Macaca fascicularis: one gene and its partners. The protein of the gene in region 3 interacts with the protein of the main gene of each other region in a pairwise test. Links are inferred from orthologs where the notes say so. Each region holds a gene or a part of one and is shown on either strand. Other genes may lie near its edges.

What was found.
Region 1: the proteins of GPKOW (region 3) and TCEA2 interact in binary tests that used the Homo sapiens proteins (3 or more experiments, as listed by UniProt). The two-hybrid records come from large-scale screens. The link is inferred for Macaca fascicularis from reciprocal best matches to the Homo sapiens genes GPKOW and TCEA2.
Region 2: the proteins of GPKOW (region 3) and SH3GL1 interact in binary tests that used the Homo sapiens proteins (3 or more experiments, as listed by UniProt). The two-hybrid records come from large-scale screens. The link is inferred for Macaca fascicularis from reciprocal best matches to the Homo sapiens genes GPKOW and SH3GL1.

The regions. Positions count from the first base shown.
Region 1 is NC_088384.1:120,189,343-120,193,525, reverse strand, and holds the start of TCEA2 (transcription elongation factor A protein 2), read right to left. Parts: upstream 2,979-4,183; 5' UTR 2,737-2,978; coding exon 2,676-2,736; intron 1-2,675. Other genes in the region: SOX18 (transcription factor SOX-18), read left to right, coding at 3,209-3,566, 3,767-4,183. UniProt on the Homo sapiens protein: Necessary for efficient RNA polymerase II transcription elongation past template-encoded arresting sites.
Region 2 is NC_088393.1:5,136,328-5,140,855, reverse strand, and holds the start of SH3GL1 (endophilin-A2), read left to right. Parts: upstream 1-1,613; 5' UTR 1,614-1,760; coding exon 1,761-1,805; intron 1,806-4,528. UniProt on the Homo sapiens protein: Implicated in endocytosis. May recruit other proteins to membranes with high curvature.
Region 3 is NC_088395.1:49,285,810-49,290,217, forward strand, and holds the start of GPKOW (G-patch domain and KOW motifs-containing protein), read right to left. Parts: upstream 2,868-4,408; 5' UTR 2,847-2,867; coding exon 2,671-2,846; intron 1,906-2,670; coding exon 1,751-1,905; intron 1,652-1,750; coding exon 1,527-1,651; intron 1-1,526. UniProt on the Homo sapiens protein: RNA-binding protein involved in pre-mRNA splicing. As a component of the minor spliceosome, involved in the splicing of U12-type introns in pre-mRNAs.

The DNA of each region.
Region 1 (4,183 bases), on a different chromosome or scaffold from region 3:
GCCAAAGTTCGGGAGGCCAGAGAGCCCCCTCCACCTGAAACTGCATCCAACAGGAACCCCCACCTCCACCCTGAGGAGCAGGAGGGTCCAGGCCCCTCGGACTCGGTAATTGGTCCCAGCCTCGCTGCTCTTGCAGCCGCAGGGGCTGGGCTGGCGGGAGCCTGGGAGGTCTGTGCCCAGGCAGTGCCTGGGAGGTCCCGCCATCCCGGCCCGGAGCCGTGCCAAGCCAAGCCCCCACCCAGAGCCACCGAGGGGGACTACCCAGCGTCCTTTGCAGGCCTCACTTGGAGGCCGAGTTCCTGTCCATGCTGAGGGAGAGGGGCAGGTGGTAGGCAGGAGAGTGTCCACTCAGTGCCCAGGCCAGTCCCACCCTTGTAGAGAAAGCTTGCCCCCAAATTCTGCCTTTCTGACTGGGGTTTGGGGGCTACAGATAGGCTCCCTCCCAAGGGTGGGCTGTAGCCCACCTGGTCCAGGAGAGACTGAGGTGGGGTTCCAGAGGCAGACGAATGCCCCTAGACTCATGAACTGCCTGCCCTCCTTTGGAGAAAGCTGGGGCCCAAGCTCAGTGGCCAGAGAAGCCTTGGGGACCCTCCAACCTTCACGGAGCAGGACCCCTGGTCCTGGACCTATTATGGGTCTTCATCTCTTCCTGGGAGAGTCCAGCTTGCCTGGCTCCCAAGGCCCTGGGCAGCCTCCAGCACCAGAGTCCCCCTCACCCCACACCCAGGCAGACAGACAGACACAGGCCACACACAGACGCACAGACACTCATCGGATTCCCCTCCCTCAGCACAGCTGGCCACACCCACACCATCCCCTGTACAGCCCTGGAGAGTCCCCCCAGCCCTGCGACTCCAGATCACGCCACCCTGACTGTGGTCTCTACCCTCACTTTGTCCCATCTGGACACTGGGCCGGGGCTGCCGCCTCCTCCCTGCCATGTGGAGGGAAAGGAGCACCCCAGGAGGCTCCCCACCCAGCCCTGGCTCACAGGACATGACGGCCGGACACCTGAGTCCCACAGCCCAGCCAAGAGGGTGGGTCACTGGCTGGCGCCAGGCAAGGCGGCTGCTGGTGGGTGTTGTAGGGGATGAGGAGGCGATGAGGTCATGCCGGACACTGCCTGCCACTATGTTTAGAGCAGCTCCAGTGACTCTGGGCTCTCAGGGGCGGCAGAGGACCAAGCAGAGCCCCCAGGGAACTGCAAATCTCTCCCAACATGTGAGGGCTGCTGCAGAGGACCCTGAGGACCTCTTTCCCAGGCCCCAGTGACCAGCCACTGCCCAGGCTGAGCCAGGCCCTGGTGACCCCAGACTCCATCCCTAAGGTTGTGAGTAGACGAAGCTTCTGCCAAGTGGCAGCCCTTTGGGGGTCTTCACACAGCTCCCCACCCCCCTGCACCTTCCTGCCAGCTGCCCAGGAGGCCCACCCACACAGACTTGGCCAAGCGTCCAGCCACCCACACTGAGATTGAAGGGGAACTAGCACCACCCAGCAGAGGCCTGTAAGCCCATCCATCCCTGTGGCCACAACTCTGCCTGCCTCCCCAGAAAAGCCAGAGGCCACACCTCCTGGTGCCCCAAGGGCCCCCCATTAGCCAGCACTGGTTCAGTGTCTGTGAACGAGGTGCTAGGCCCGTGGGGCAAACTGGAGTGAGGGGAGACCTGGAGGCCAGACTGGGAGATCCAGCCCCACATGCTGGGACGATGGGCGTCGAGACAGACTGTGATGTGGGGCTTTGGGGAGGGCTGGACACCGACCGCAACAGCCCTCGGTGGGGGTGCCCCTGTGGGGGGTGCTGGCCTCAGGGCAGGAGCGCCCCTGGGGACAGTTCAGGAACAGCCTCTGAGGAGCACTGCAAGGCCCACATAGGGCCCCCCCCATTCACATCACAGGCTGGATGTGGCCTAGCGAGGCTGGCAGGGACAGAGACCCAAGAACTGCTGGCCACACAGGCTCAAGGCCACCAAGATCTGTGGCCTCTACCCACGGGGCTCCCAGCACAGGGGTGGGTGGGGGGCAGTTGCGGAGCCTCCAGGCTATGAGGAGATGTGCTGTGAGGTGGGGGGATTCTGACCCTGCCTGGAGGGCTGCTGGGGACACCTGACACTCCTCCAGTAGAACCACGTATGGCAGTGGGAGGGGAGGACCTCCAGAGGGAGACCCTCAGCTCTGGAGGCCAGATCCCCTCCTGATGGGGTGGGAAGGGGACAGTGAAAATTCAGGAAGCTGGACGCTCCTCTGGAACCCGGCCCTCCCCAGGTCAGAGGGTCCAGGGAGGGGCCAGCGGGAAGGACCCAGGTCGGCCCTGCCTCTTGCTGCAGCGGTGGCCTGGGCTGGGCAGGGGAGCCGGACAGCCCCTGTGGGTCTCAGGCCCCTCCCCAAGGGCCCTGAGGTGGGCAGGGAGGAGGCCACAGCCTCTGCATCCCTGCTCCCCCTTCTCTTTGTGGGCTCTGTCCAGGGCCTCTGCTCTCTCCCTCCCTGTGTCAGCTTTGCCTTGTGGCAGCGTTGGTTTGGGCGTGAGGACAGAAACACGAAGACCACCTTGTCCCATAAAAGCATTCAAAGGCCCTGGTGCTGACAGGAACGTGGTGCATGGGCGCCCTTGGGTAGTCAGAGCGCCTCTCCAAAGCCGGGGGCTTTTCTGAGGGCGCTGCGCTCCAGGAAGGACTTACCGGCTGTTGGGAAGGCAGCCTCGCAAGAACTTGGTGTGCAAAAGGGCCCTCTCCTCCCCATGGAGCCTCCTAGGGGGGTGCGGGGAACGGCAACGAGCGGGACACTGCCGCCCTCCCCGTTACTGCCCGGGGGTCCGACTCCGTGGGTGGGTGGCAGCTCGCCTCTGAAAGTCTGGCAGCACCGGCCCACATCGGCAGCCCTTTCCTGCCCACCCGGGGGTCTCTCCTTCTGAGAGGTGGCGGGGGAGGTGGGGGGGCTGTGCGCGGGGGAGGCCTCCGCGAAATCCCGCCCGGCCAGAGAAGAAAGGGAGCCCCCGGGGAGGGGGCGGCCCCGACCCGCCCCGGCCCGCCCGCCCAGCCGCCGATTGGCCCCGAGCCGCTATATCTGGGCGCCCGTCCGGCCCGAGGCCACCGCCGTCCCCACCGCCGTCCGCCCTCCCGGCCTGGCCCGCCCTCGCGCCCGGCTCCGCAGTGCCCGCCGCCCGCCCGCCGCGCTCCCGCGCTCCGTTCCGCCCAGGCCGCGCCCAGCTGGAATGCAGAGATCGCCGCCCGGCTACGGCGCACAGGACGACCCGCCCGCCCGCCGCGACTGTGCATGGGCCCCGGGACACGGGGCCGCCGCTGACCCGCGCGGCCTCGCCGCCGCCCCCGCCGCCCTCGCCGCGCCCGCCGCGCCCGCCTCGCCGCCCAGCCCGCAGCGCAGTCCGCCGCGCAGCCCCGAGCCGGGGCGCTATGGCCTCAGCCCGGCCGGCCGCGGGGAACGCCAGGCGGCAGACGAGTCGCGCATCCGGCGGCCCATGAACGCCTTCATGGTGTGGGCGAAGGACGAGCGCAAGCGGCTGGCTCAGCAGAACCCGGACCTGCACAACGCGGTGCTCAGCAAGATGCTGGGTGAGCGGCGGGAGGGCGCCGGAAGGGGGAGCGGGCGGGGGGGCTCGGGCCGGAGGGGGCGGGGGGCGCGGGGCGCGGGGGTCCGGGGTCGCGGTGTACGGGGGGCTGCGCCGAACCCTCGCGGGGCGTCCCAGGCGCACGGAGGGCTCGGCGCCCACCCGCCCGACGGCGTTCCACTCACTGGCGCCCGCGGCCCGCAGGCAAAGCGTGGAAGGAGCTGAACGCAGCGGAGAAGCGGCCCTTCGTGGAGGAAGCCGAACGGCTGCGCGTGCAGCACCTGCGCGACCACCCCAACTACAAGTACCGGCCGCGCCGCAAGAAGCAGGCGCGCAAGGCCCGGCGGCTGGAGCCCGGCCTCCTGCTCCCCGGATTAGCGCCCCCGCAGCCACCGCCCGAGCCTTTCCCCGCGGCGCCTGGCTCGGCTCGCGCCTTCCGCGAGCTGCCCCCGCTGGGCGCCGAGTTCGACGGCCTGGGGCTGCCGACGCCCGAGCGCTCGCCTCTGGACGGCCTGGAGCCCGGCGAGGCTGCCTTCTTCCCACCGCCCGCGGCGCCCGAGGACTGCGCGCTGCGAGCCTTCCGCGCGCCCTACGCGCCCACCGAGTTGTCCCGGGACCCCG
Region 2 (4,528 bases), on a different chromosome or scaffold from region 3:
GAATAGTTGAGAAGAATCTATGGGGACTGGGAACGGCGGCTCACGCCTGTAATCCCAGCACTCTGGGAGGCTGAGACAGGCGGATCACGAGGTCAGAAGATCGAGACCATCCTGGCTAACATGGTGAAACCCCGTCTCTACTAAAAATACAAAAAAATTAGCCAGGCAAAGTGGCCGGCACCTGTAGTCCCAGCTACATTCTCCCAGAGGCAGGAGAATGGCATAAACCTGGGAGCTGGAGCTTGCAGTGAGCTGAGATTGTGCCACTGCACTCCAGCCTGGGCGACAGAGCAAGACTCCATCTCAAAAAAAAAAAAAAAAAGGAAAGAAAGAAAACAGAGACAGAGAGAGTTGATGGGGCCAAATTATGCAGGCTTTGTAAAATATGTTAGGAAGTCTGGAGTGTATCCTAAGGGTGGTAGGCCGAATTAAAACAGGGGACTGGTGTGATCTGAATTGCACTCTTTTTTTCTTTAGATGGAGTCTCACTCCATCGCCCACGCTGGAGTGCAGTGGTGCGATCTCTGCTCACCGCAGCCTCCGCCTCCCAGGTTCAAGCGATTCTCCTGCCTCAGCCTCCTGAGTAGCTAGGATTACAGGAGTGCGCCAACACGCCCAGCTAATTTGTGTGTGTATGTGTGTGTTTTGTTTTTTTTTTTTTTTTGTAGAAACGGGGTTTCACCATGTTGTCCAGGCTTGTCTTGAACTCCTGACCTCGTGATCCACCCGTCTCTGCCTCCCTCACTGCTGGGACTACAGGCGTGAGCCACTGCGCCCGACCCTGAATTGCATTCTAGAAGCATCTTTCTGGCCGCCATGCCAGGGCATGAAGCCAGACCTAGATGTCTCCATGTGTCACGTGGGCAACTGAATGGATGAACACAGGACAGAGAGAGAGGAAGAGAGGTGGCCAGGCACGGTGTCTCATACCTGTGATCCCAATACTTTGGGAGGCTAGGGGAGGAGAGGGTGGATCACCTGAGGTCAGGAGTTCGAGACCAGCGTGGCCAACGTGGCGAAACCCTGTCTCTACTAAAAATACAAAAATTAGCCGAGCGTGGTGGTGCTCGCCTGTAATCCCAGCTACTCGGGGGGCTGAGGCAGGAGAACCGCTTGAACTCGGGAGGCGGAGGTTGCAGTGAACCGAGATCACGCCACTGTACTCCAGCTTGGGCGACAAAGCAAGACTCCGTCTCAGAAAAAAAGCAAAAAAAAAAAAAAAAGAAAGAAGGGGAGGGAGCCTGAACACTTAGAGGAACTGGATTTAGATTTAGCTAAGATGAGCAAACAGGAATCTGGAGAATCGTAACCAGGCAGAGGCCCCTTCTACTTCCCAACCTCCCTGGCCAGGTTTAAACTAAGCGCCTTTCCCAAGACGTTAGGGTCACCTCCGGGACTCCAGAGGGCGCTGAACCTGCTACGGCCCCTCTAGGCTCCCCCCGCTCAACTCACTGACAGAGGCGGTGTCTCCCGCGGCAGACAACGTGCACGTGCGCTCTCCAGCCGGCAGAGGGCGCGCGTGCGCAGACGGGGCCGGGGGCGCGCGCGGGGGCCGGCACCGGAAGCGTGCGGTTGCCATGTAATATCCTGGCCGCGCGGGCGCGCGAGCGGCTGAGGCGGCGCCGGGGCGGGCGCGGAGCTGGCAAGCGGCTGGCGGAGGCGGCGCCGACGGGGGCTGCTGAGGCGCGCAGAGGGTCGGCGGCGCCCGGGAGCCTGTCGCTGGCGCGGTCCGGGCGGGAGGCTCGGCGGCAGGCGGCAGCATGTCGGTGGCGGGGCTGAAGAAGCAGTTCTACAAGGCGAGCCAGGTGAGCTCAGGCCCAGGCAGGGGCCGAGTCCTGGGCCCCAGGCTGCCCGGATGAGGGGGCCAGGCCCGACCTGGCTCGGGAGGGGGCCGGAGGGACCGAGGTAGGGACGTTGGTGCGTGTCCCCCGCCGGGTGGGAAGAGCAAGGCACGGACGGGGGCGATGAGGTGGCTCAGGCCCTGCCCGCCATGCGGGCTCCAGAAGCGGGGACAGAACCCCTGGGAGGAGGGGAGAGGCACCCAGGGGCTGCCCAGGGACGCGGACCTCACCCCTCCTCCCCTCCCCTGCAAAGGCGGGGTGCGGGGAGAGAAGGGGAAGAGAGGAGTCCCGAGGCTGTCGACACAGGATTCTTGCCAGATAACCCAGAGCCAGGGAAAATTGCTTCTAGAGCAGTTCTGTTCAAAATCCTCCGGATGGGCAAGGTACAAAGTTGAAAAGGTAGAGGGAGAAGTCAGTTTCCCCTCTCTGCTCCTCGGGCAGCCAGCCCCGTCTCTCTCCCCAGAGACAGGGACTGTCATCGACTCCGTATGTCCCTTTCGTAAGATACGTGTGTGCCTTTCCTTTAAAAACACGTACACTGATAGCATTTGCCACAGAATCCTGTGTGCTGTGGTTTTCATTACTTGGAGGTCACACTGGAGCGAGATTTCTACCCCTCCGTCAGCACTGTTGACATCTGGGGCCGGATTGTTCTCCGTGGTGGGGCCATCCTGGACACTGCGGGGTGCTGAGCAGCGCCCTGGCCTCCACCCTCTCCAGGCCGGGAGCACCCCCAAGTCGTGACAACCAAAAATATCTTGAGACATCACCCTGTGTCCCCTGAGGAATAGAATCAATCTCCTTCCCTCTCTACTTTCCTTCCTTCCTTCCTCCTTTCCTCCCTCCCTGTCTCTCTCCCTTCCTTCCTTCTCTTCTTTCCTTCCTCCCTTCCTTCCCTGTCCCCCAGGACTACTGCACTAGACCATACTCCACACTTGTTGGATTTTTTTTTTTTTTTTTTTTGAGACGGAGTCACTCTCTGTCGGCCCAGCTGGAGTGCAATGGTGCAATCTCAGCTTACTGCAAGCTCCACCTCCTGGGTTCAAGCAATTCTCCTGCCTCAGCCTCCCTGGTAGCTGGAACTACAGGCATGTGCCACCGCACCCGGCTACTTTTTGTAATTTTAGCAGAGACAGGGTTTCTCCATTTGGCCCAGGCTGGTCTCGAACTCCTGGCCTCAAGTGATCCGCCTGCCTCGGCCTCCCAACGTGCTGGGATTACAGGTGTGAGCGACTGTGCTTGGCCTACTTGGATCTTTTTAATGGGTACATTGTATTTCATTCCATTAGGTGTACCATAATTTATTTAACCAGTTGTCAGTTGATAGATATTTCTGTTTACCGGAATTTTCTGCTACCATTACTACAATGAATAGCCAGTGAATATCTTTGCTCACCAGTGGGATTCGTTTTATAGGATGAATTCCCGGAAGTAGAATGTTGCATCCCAGCCTAAGTGCATTTGATTTGGACAGATAAAGGGTTTTTTGGAAAGTCCAGGACCCATTGCCCATGAATGTGGTGAAAGCTGTGGATCCACTCTCCGTAAAACTGGGCACACTTAAAATTTTCACTTTGCAACTTCAAATCTAGCAAGCCTCAAATTTGTCTGGGCACGGTGGCTCACACCTGTAATCCCAGCACTTTTGGGAGGCCGAGGTGGGAGAATCACTTGAAGCCAGGAGTTTGAGAGCAGCCTGGGCAACATGGCAAAACCCCATCTCTACTAACAGTACAAAAATTTTGTATTTTTGCCTGTAACCCCGGCTACTAAGGAGGCTGAGACAGGAGAATCTCTTGAATCCAGGAGGTAGAGGTTGCAGTGAGCCAAGATTGCGCCACTGCACTCCAGTCTGGGTGACAGAGCGAGACTCCGTCTTGGAAAAAAAAAAAAAAAAGCCTCAGATTGTTGAATCCTATTGGTCCATGCACTGCAGGGTGAGGTTGTGTGGAATTTGTGTGGATAGAGTCCACCGAGGAATGAGCAATGATGTGTTTTTTTTTTTTTTTTTTTGAGATGGAGTCACTCTGTCGCTCAGGCTGGAGTGCAGTGGAGCAATCTTGGCTCACTGGAAGCTCTGTCTCCCGGGTACACACAATTCTCCTGCCTCAGCCTCCCTTGTAGCTGGGACTACAGGTGCCGGCTACCACACCTGGCTAATTTTTTGTATTTTTAGTAGAGACGGGGTTTCACCATATTAGCTAGGATGGTCTTGATCTCTTGACCTTGTGATCTGCCCGCCTCAGCCTCCAAAGTGCTGGGATTACAGGCAGGAGCCACTGCGCCCGGCCTGAGCAATGATCTTAGCAAATGCTTGGGCCGAGGTGGCAAACAGGGTTCTCTGCCCACAGTTTGGAGAGGCCCAGTGGGAGCAAAGAGAAACAAGTCCCCAGTAACACCCAGCTGGTACCTTTTGTCCCTGGAAAGAAAAAAGTAAGGACCCTGCCAGGTGCTGTGGTTCATGCCTGTAATCCCAGCACTTTGGAGGCTGAGGCAGGGGTTCCCTTGAGTTCAGGAGTTCAAGACCAGCCTGGGCAATATAGGGAGATCTCATCCCTACAAAATATCGAAAAGTTAGCCAGGTGTGGTGATGTGCACCTGTAGTCCCAGCTACTTGGGAGGCTGAGGGGGGAGGACCACTGGAGCCCAGCAGTGCAAGGCTACAGTGAACTATGATCGTGCTGCTG
Region 3 (4,408 bases):
ATGGGGTTTCGCCATGTTGGTCAGGCTGGTCTTGAACTCCTGATCTCAGGTGATCCGCCCACCTCAGCCTCCCAAAGTGTTGGGATTACAGGCTCGGCCGACTCCAAGGTTTTTATGCTGAGTGAGAGGAAGGATGGATGGAATTTTTGGTCACCTGATATGTATAAAGCTGCAGGAGGAGGTTTATAGAGGGAAAAATTAGAGGAATGAGGTTAAAGCTGGAACAGGATGAAAGGATGAAGAGGGAAGTGAGGATCTTTTTTTTCTTTAAAGATGAAGGAGCTGGGCACAGTGGATCATGCCTGTAATCCCAGCACTCTGGGAGGCCAAGGTGGGTAGATCACCTGAAGTCAGGAGTTCAAGACCAGCCTGACCAACGTGGCGAAACCTCGTTTCTACTAAAAATACAAAAACTAGCCAGGCGGTAGTGACACGTGTCTGTAATCCCAGCTACTTGGGAGGCTAAGGCAGGAGAATCGCTTGATCCCGGGAGCGGGAGGTTGCAGTGAGCCGAGATCGTACCACTTCACTCTAGCCTGGGCCACAGGGCAAGACTCTGTCTCAAAAAACAAAAAACAAACAAACAAAAAAAAGTTGAAGGAAATCAGAGCACATCTGAAGGCTGAAGAGAACAGTTCAGTTGAAAGAGAGTGTTCTGGGGCTGTAGGAGAACTAGACTCCAAAGAAGCAATGCAAGAAATTTATGAAAGAAGAGGTGAAAAGTCAGGTCTGTGGGTATGAAAGACAGACTTGGTTACTCCTGTAGACACGCCTCTCACATCTCCTCGTCACCTTCCATCATCACTCCTTCCCATTCACTCCAGACACACCACATGTTGCCTCACTGATGGACACACACCACATCGATTTTCTGCCACTATGCCATTGCTTGGGCTGTTACTACCAACAGGAACACTCACTCTGTTCTTCCCTCTCACTAAACCCTACTTATCCTTCCAGACCACTCTGGTCTAAGTCCCCAGCATCTCTAGCCTGGACTACTCATCCCCTTGCTTCCACCTTCACTAATGAGTCTGTTCACAGCAGCCAGAGGGATGCTGTCAAATCATAAATCATATTTCATCTATGCTCAGGGCTTGCCTAGGCTCTCATCCCACTCAGAGTAAAAGCCAAAGTCCTCACAATGGCCTACAAGGCCCTGCCTTGTCTAGCACCCCCATCTCCTTTCTGACTTCGTCTACTATCCCTTCCCCTCACTCATTCCACTTCAGTCACACTAGTCTCTTTGGTGTTCCGCAAACACTCTAGGCAGTGTCTACCTTCAGGGCCTTTACATTTCCTGTTCCCTTTGCTGCACACCTCATTCAGATAATCCTAGGATTCAAGTACGTTTTTAGCATCCAGATATCCAGATTCATTTGGTAATGCTTCCAAAAAGGATGACAGGAGAAAGGACAGGTGGCGGGCCTCTAGCACACAGACTTTCCCTGCTATGTGCAGGGACAAAGCCTAGCAGACAGGGCAAAGAAAGGCTGGGGCAGGAGGGGGACAAGGGGCCAGCTCACTGTCTCTGCCCGGGGTTCGCTGTCTGCCCCTTCCCCGCTGGGGGTGCATCCTTTCTGGATCATGGGGATAGCGAGCGTGGGGTCGACACCCGCATTCTCTCTCTCTTCCAGAGACTTCTTGGATTCTAAGGGAAGAATAGGAGGGAGCAATGAAGTCCCACTCTATCCTTCCACCTTCTTCATCTTCTTCCTTCACTGGGGAAGGGTAAAGGGGCATCACTCACCCTCAATGAGCTCCTTCACAGCCTGGGACAGCACCCCATCTGCCAAGGCCTCAGTATCTGTGGATGGCCCAGGGGGCCGGGCTGGTGACTGCCTGCGATGGCCATTCTGGATCAAAGGGATGACGAGTTCCTTGGGGGCTTCCTGGGGCTTCACACTGATGTGGACACAGAGGGGTGGGGTTGGGAGAATGGCAGTGTCAGTGGGTCACACTCCTTTATTCAGAGAAAACACGAGAGCCAAACTCACCCCAGCCCCACAGACCATGCCTTCTCTACTCCATGTCTGGATCTCCTGTACCTCTCTGATCGTGCATTCTTTGGATTATCCCCCCCAGTGCCCCCAACTCGTAAATGTCAGTGCCTTCGAGAAATAAGTCCTGGACTCTCTGTTTAACTCAAGACCGGCTTCCACAATGGCCCACAAATCACTATCTTCAGCCTAGACCCTCCCTAGCTCCAGGTTCCCAAACAGCTTCCCAGATGCCTGATTCTCTTCTGGAAATCCCTCCCTCAGACTCTCCTCTCCTCATTAAGCTGATGGTGGCCTCCATCAACCTGAATCTGCCGCTCCATCCCGTTCCCCATATCAGAGAAGCCCCACCACTTCAGCTGAGACACTAGCAGGTCCTGTCATTTTCTCATTCTTTCCTTCTCCCAAAACGCACACACCTCAGTGTCCTCAAGTCCTAAAGACACTTCTTCTCAGTGATACATCCTCTCTTCGCAATTCCCACGGCTATCAGGCCCAATTTCCCCACCCCTCTTATAAACTCCAGCCTTCTGGCCTCCACGAATTTACTCAGGCTGTGCTTCAGGCTTAACAGGTCACTGTCACCAAGACAAACGACTGAGTGAGATTCCTCCCTCCCGCTTACGCCCACCGCAGCGATTTCCAAGGTGTGAAAGACCCGGCGCGTCACCTCTGCAGCTCCCTCCCTTCCACGGTTTTCAAGAAATCCTTCTCCTCCGGAGATGGCCTCGCGCCGTCTCCCGAGTCGGCCAGCCGCCTCCGTGCGGACGTGCGAGTGAAGCCGAATGAAATTGGGGCAGTGGAAGCAGCCGTCAGCGGCAAAACACCCTCTTCGGAGTCAGCCATCTTGCCCCTTTTCCCAGGCCTGCGCGCTGCTTGCTGGGAAATTTAGTTTGGGTTCAGATGGCTAGGGGCCGGCCAAAGTGCGTAAAAACTACCTTCCCATCAACCACTGTGGCACCGGCGGGAGGGGGCGGTAAGGGGCCGTGGGAAGTAATTGTCGCTCTTTCAAACGTCGTGGGAGTGCGTCGCGCCAAGTGCACAGGGAAATGTAGTTTTTTTTGTTTTGTTTTGTTTTTGTTTCTTTTTTTTTTTTAAAGATGGAGTCTTGCTCTGTTGCCCAGGCTGGAGTGCAGTGGTGTGATCTCGGCTCACTGCAACCTCTGCCTCCCGGGTTCAAGCGCTTCTCCTGCTGCAGCCTCCCGAGTAGCTGAGGCTACAGGCATGCGCCACCACGCCCGGCTAATTTTTGTATTTTTAGTAGAGACGGGTTTCACCGTGTTAGCCAGGATAGTCTCCATCTCCTGACCTCGTGATCCGCCTGCCTCGGCCTCCCACAGTGCTGGGACTACAGGCGTAAGCCACCACGCCCGGCCGGAAATGTAGTTTTTAGCGAGGTAGGCATGGTGGAAGGTGGATTCATTCTTGCCAGGCATTGATTCCTTCGTGTAGGCGTTTGACAAGTATTTATGGAGCGCCTACTGTGTGCCCTACTCATGTGGGAAGTGTTGATGAAGTAAATCATTTAGAAATAATCAGCCAGGTGTGGTGGCGTGCACCTGTAGTTTCATTTAGCCCACAGGCTGAGGCAGGAGGATGGCCTGAGGCCCAGGAGTTCGAGGATGCACTTAGCTCTTATTGCGCCACTGCATTCCAGCATGGGTGACAGAGCGATACCCCGTCTCTAAAAAAGAAAAAGTCAGGGTCGGGGGCGGGGGAAGGAGTGTCAGTTGTCTACAATAGTAAATAATAGACATAAAGTGCCTACTGGCCAGGCGTGGTAGCTCATGCCTGTAATCCTAGCATTTTGGGAGGCCTAGGCTGGTGGATCACCTGAGGTCAGGACTTTGAGACCAGCCTGACTCATATGGTGAAACCCTGTCTCTACTAAAAATACAAAAATTAGCCGGGCTGGTGGTGGCACCTGTAGTCCCAGCTACTCAGGAGGCTGAGACAGGAGGATTGCTTGAACCCGGGAGGCAGAGTTTGCAGTAAGCCGAGATCCCGCCACTGCACTCCAACCTGGGCGACAGAGCGAGACTCTGTCTTAAAAAAGAAAAAGAAAGAAAGAAAGAAAGAAAGAAAGAAAGAAGAAAGAAGGAAGGAAGGAAGGAAGGAAGGAAGGAAGGAAGGAAGGAAGGAAGGAAGGAAGGAAGGAAGGAAGGAAGGAAGGAAGGAAGGAAGGAAGGAAGGAAGGAAGGAAGGAAGGAAGGAAGGAAGGAAGGAAGGAAGGAAGGAAGGAAGGAAGGAAGGAAGGAAGGAAGGAAGGAAGGAAGGAAGGAAGGAAGGAAGGAAGGAAGGAAGGAAGGAAGGAAGGAAGGAAGGAAGGAAGGAAGGAAGGAAGGAAGGAAGGAAGGAAGGAAGGAAGGAAGGAAGGAAGGAAGGAAGGAAGGAAGGAAGGAAAGAGT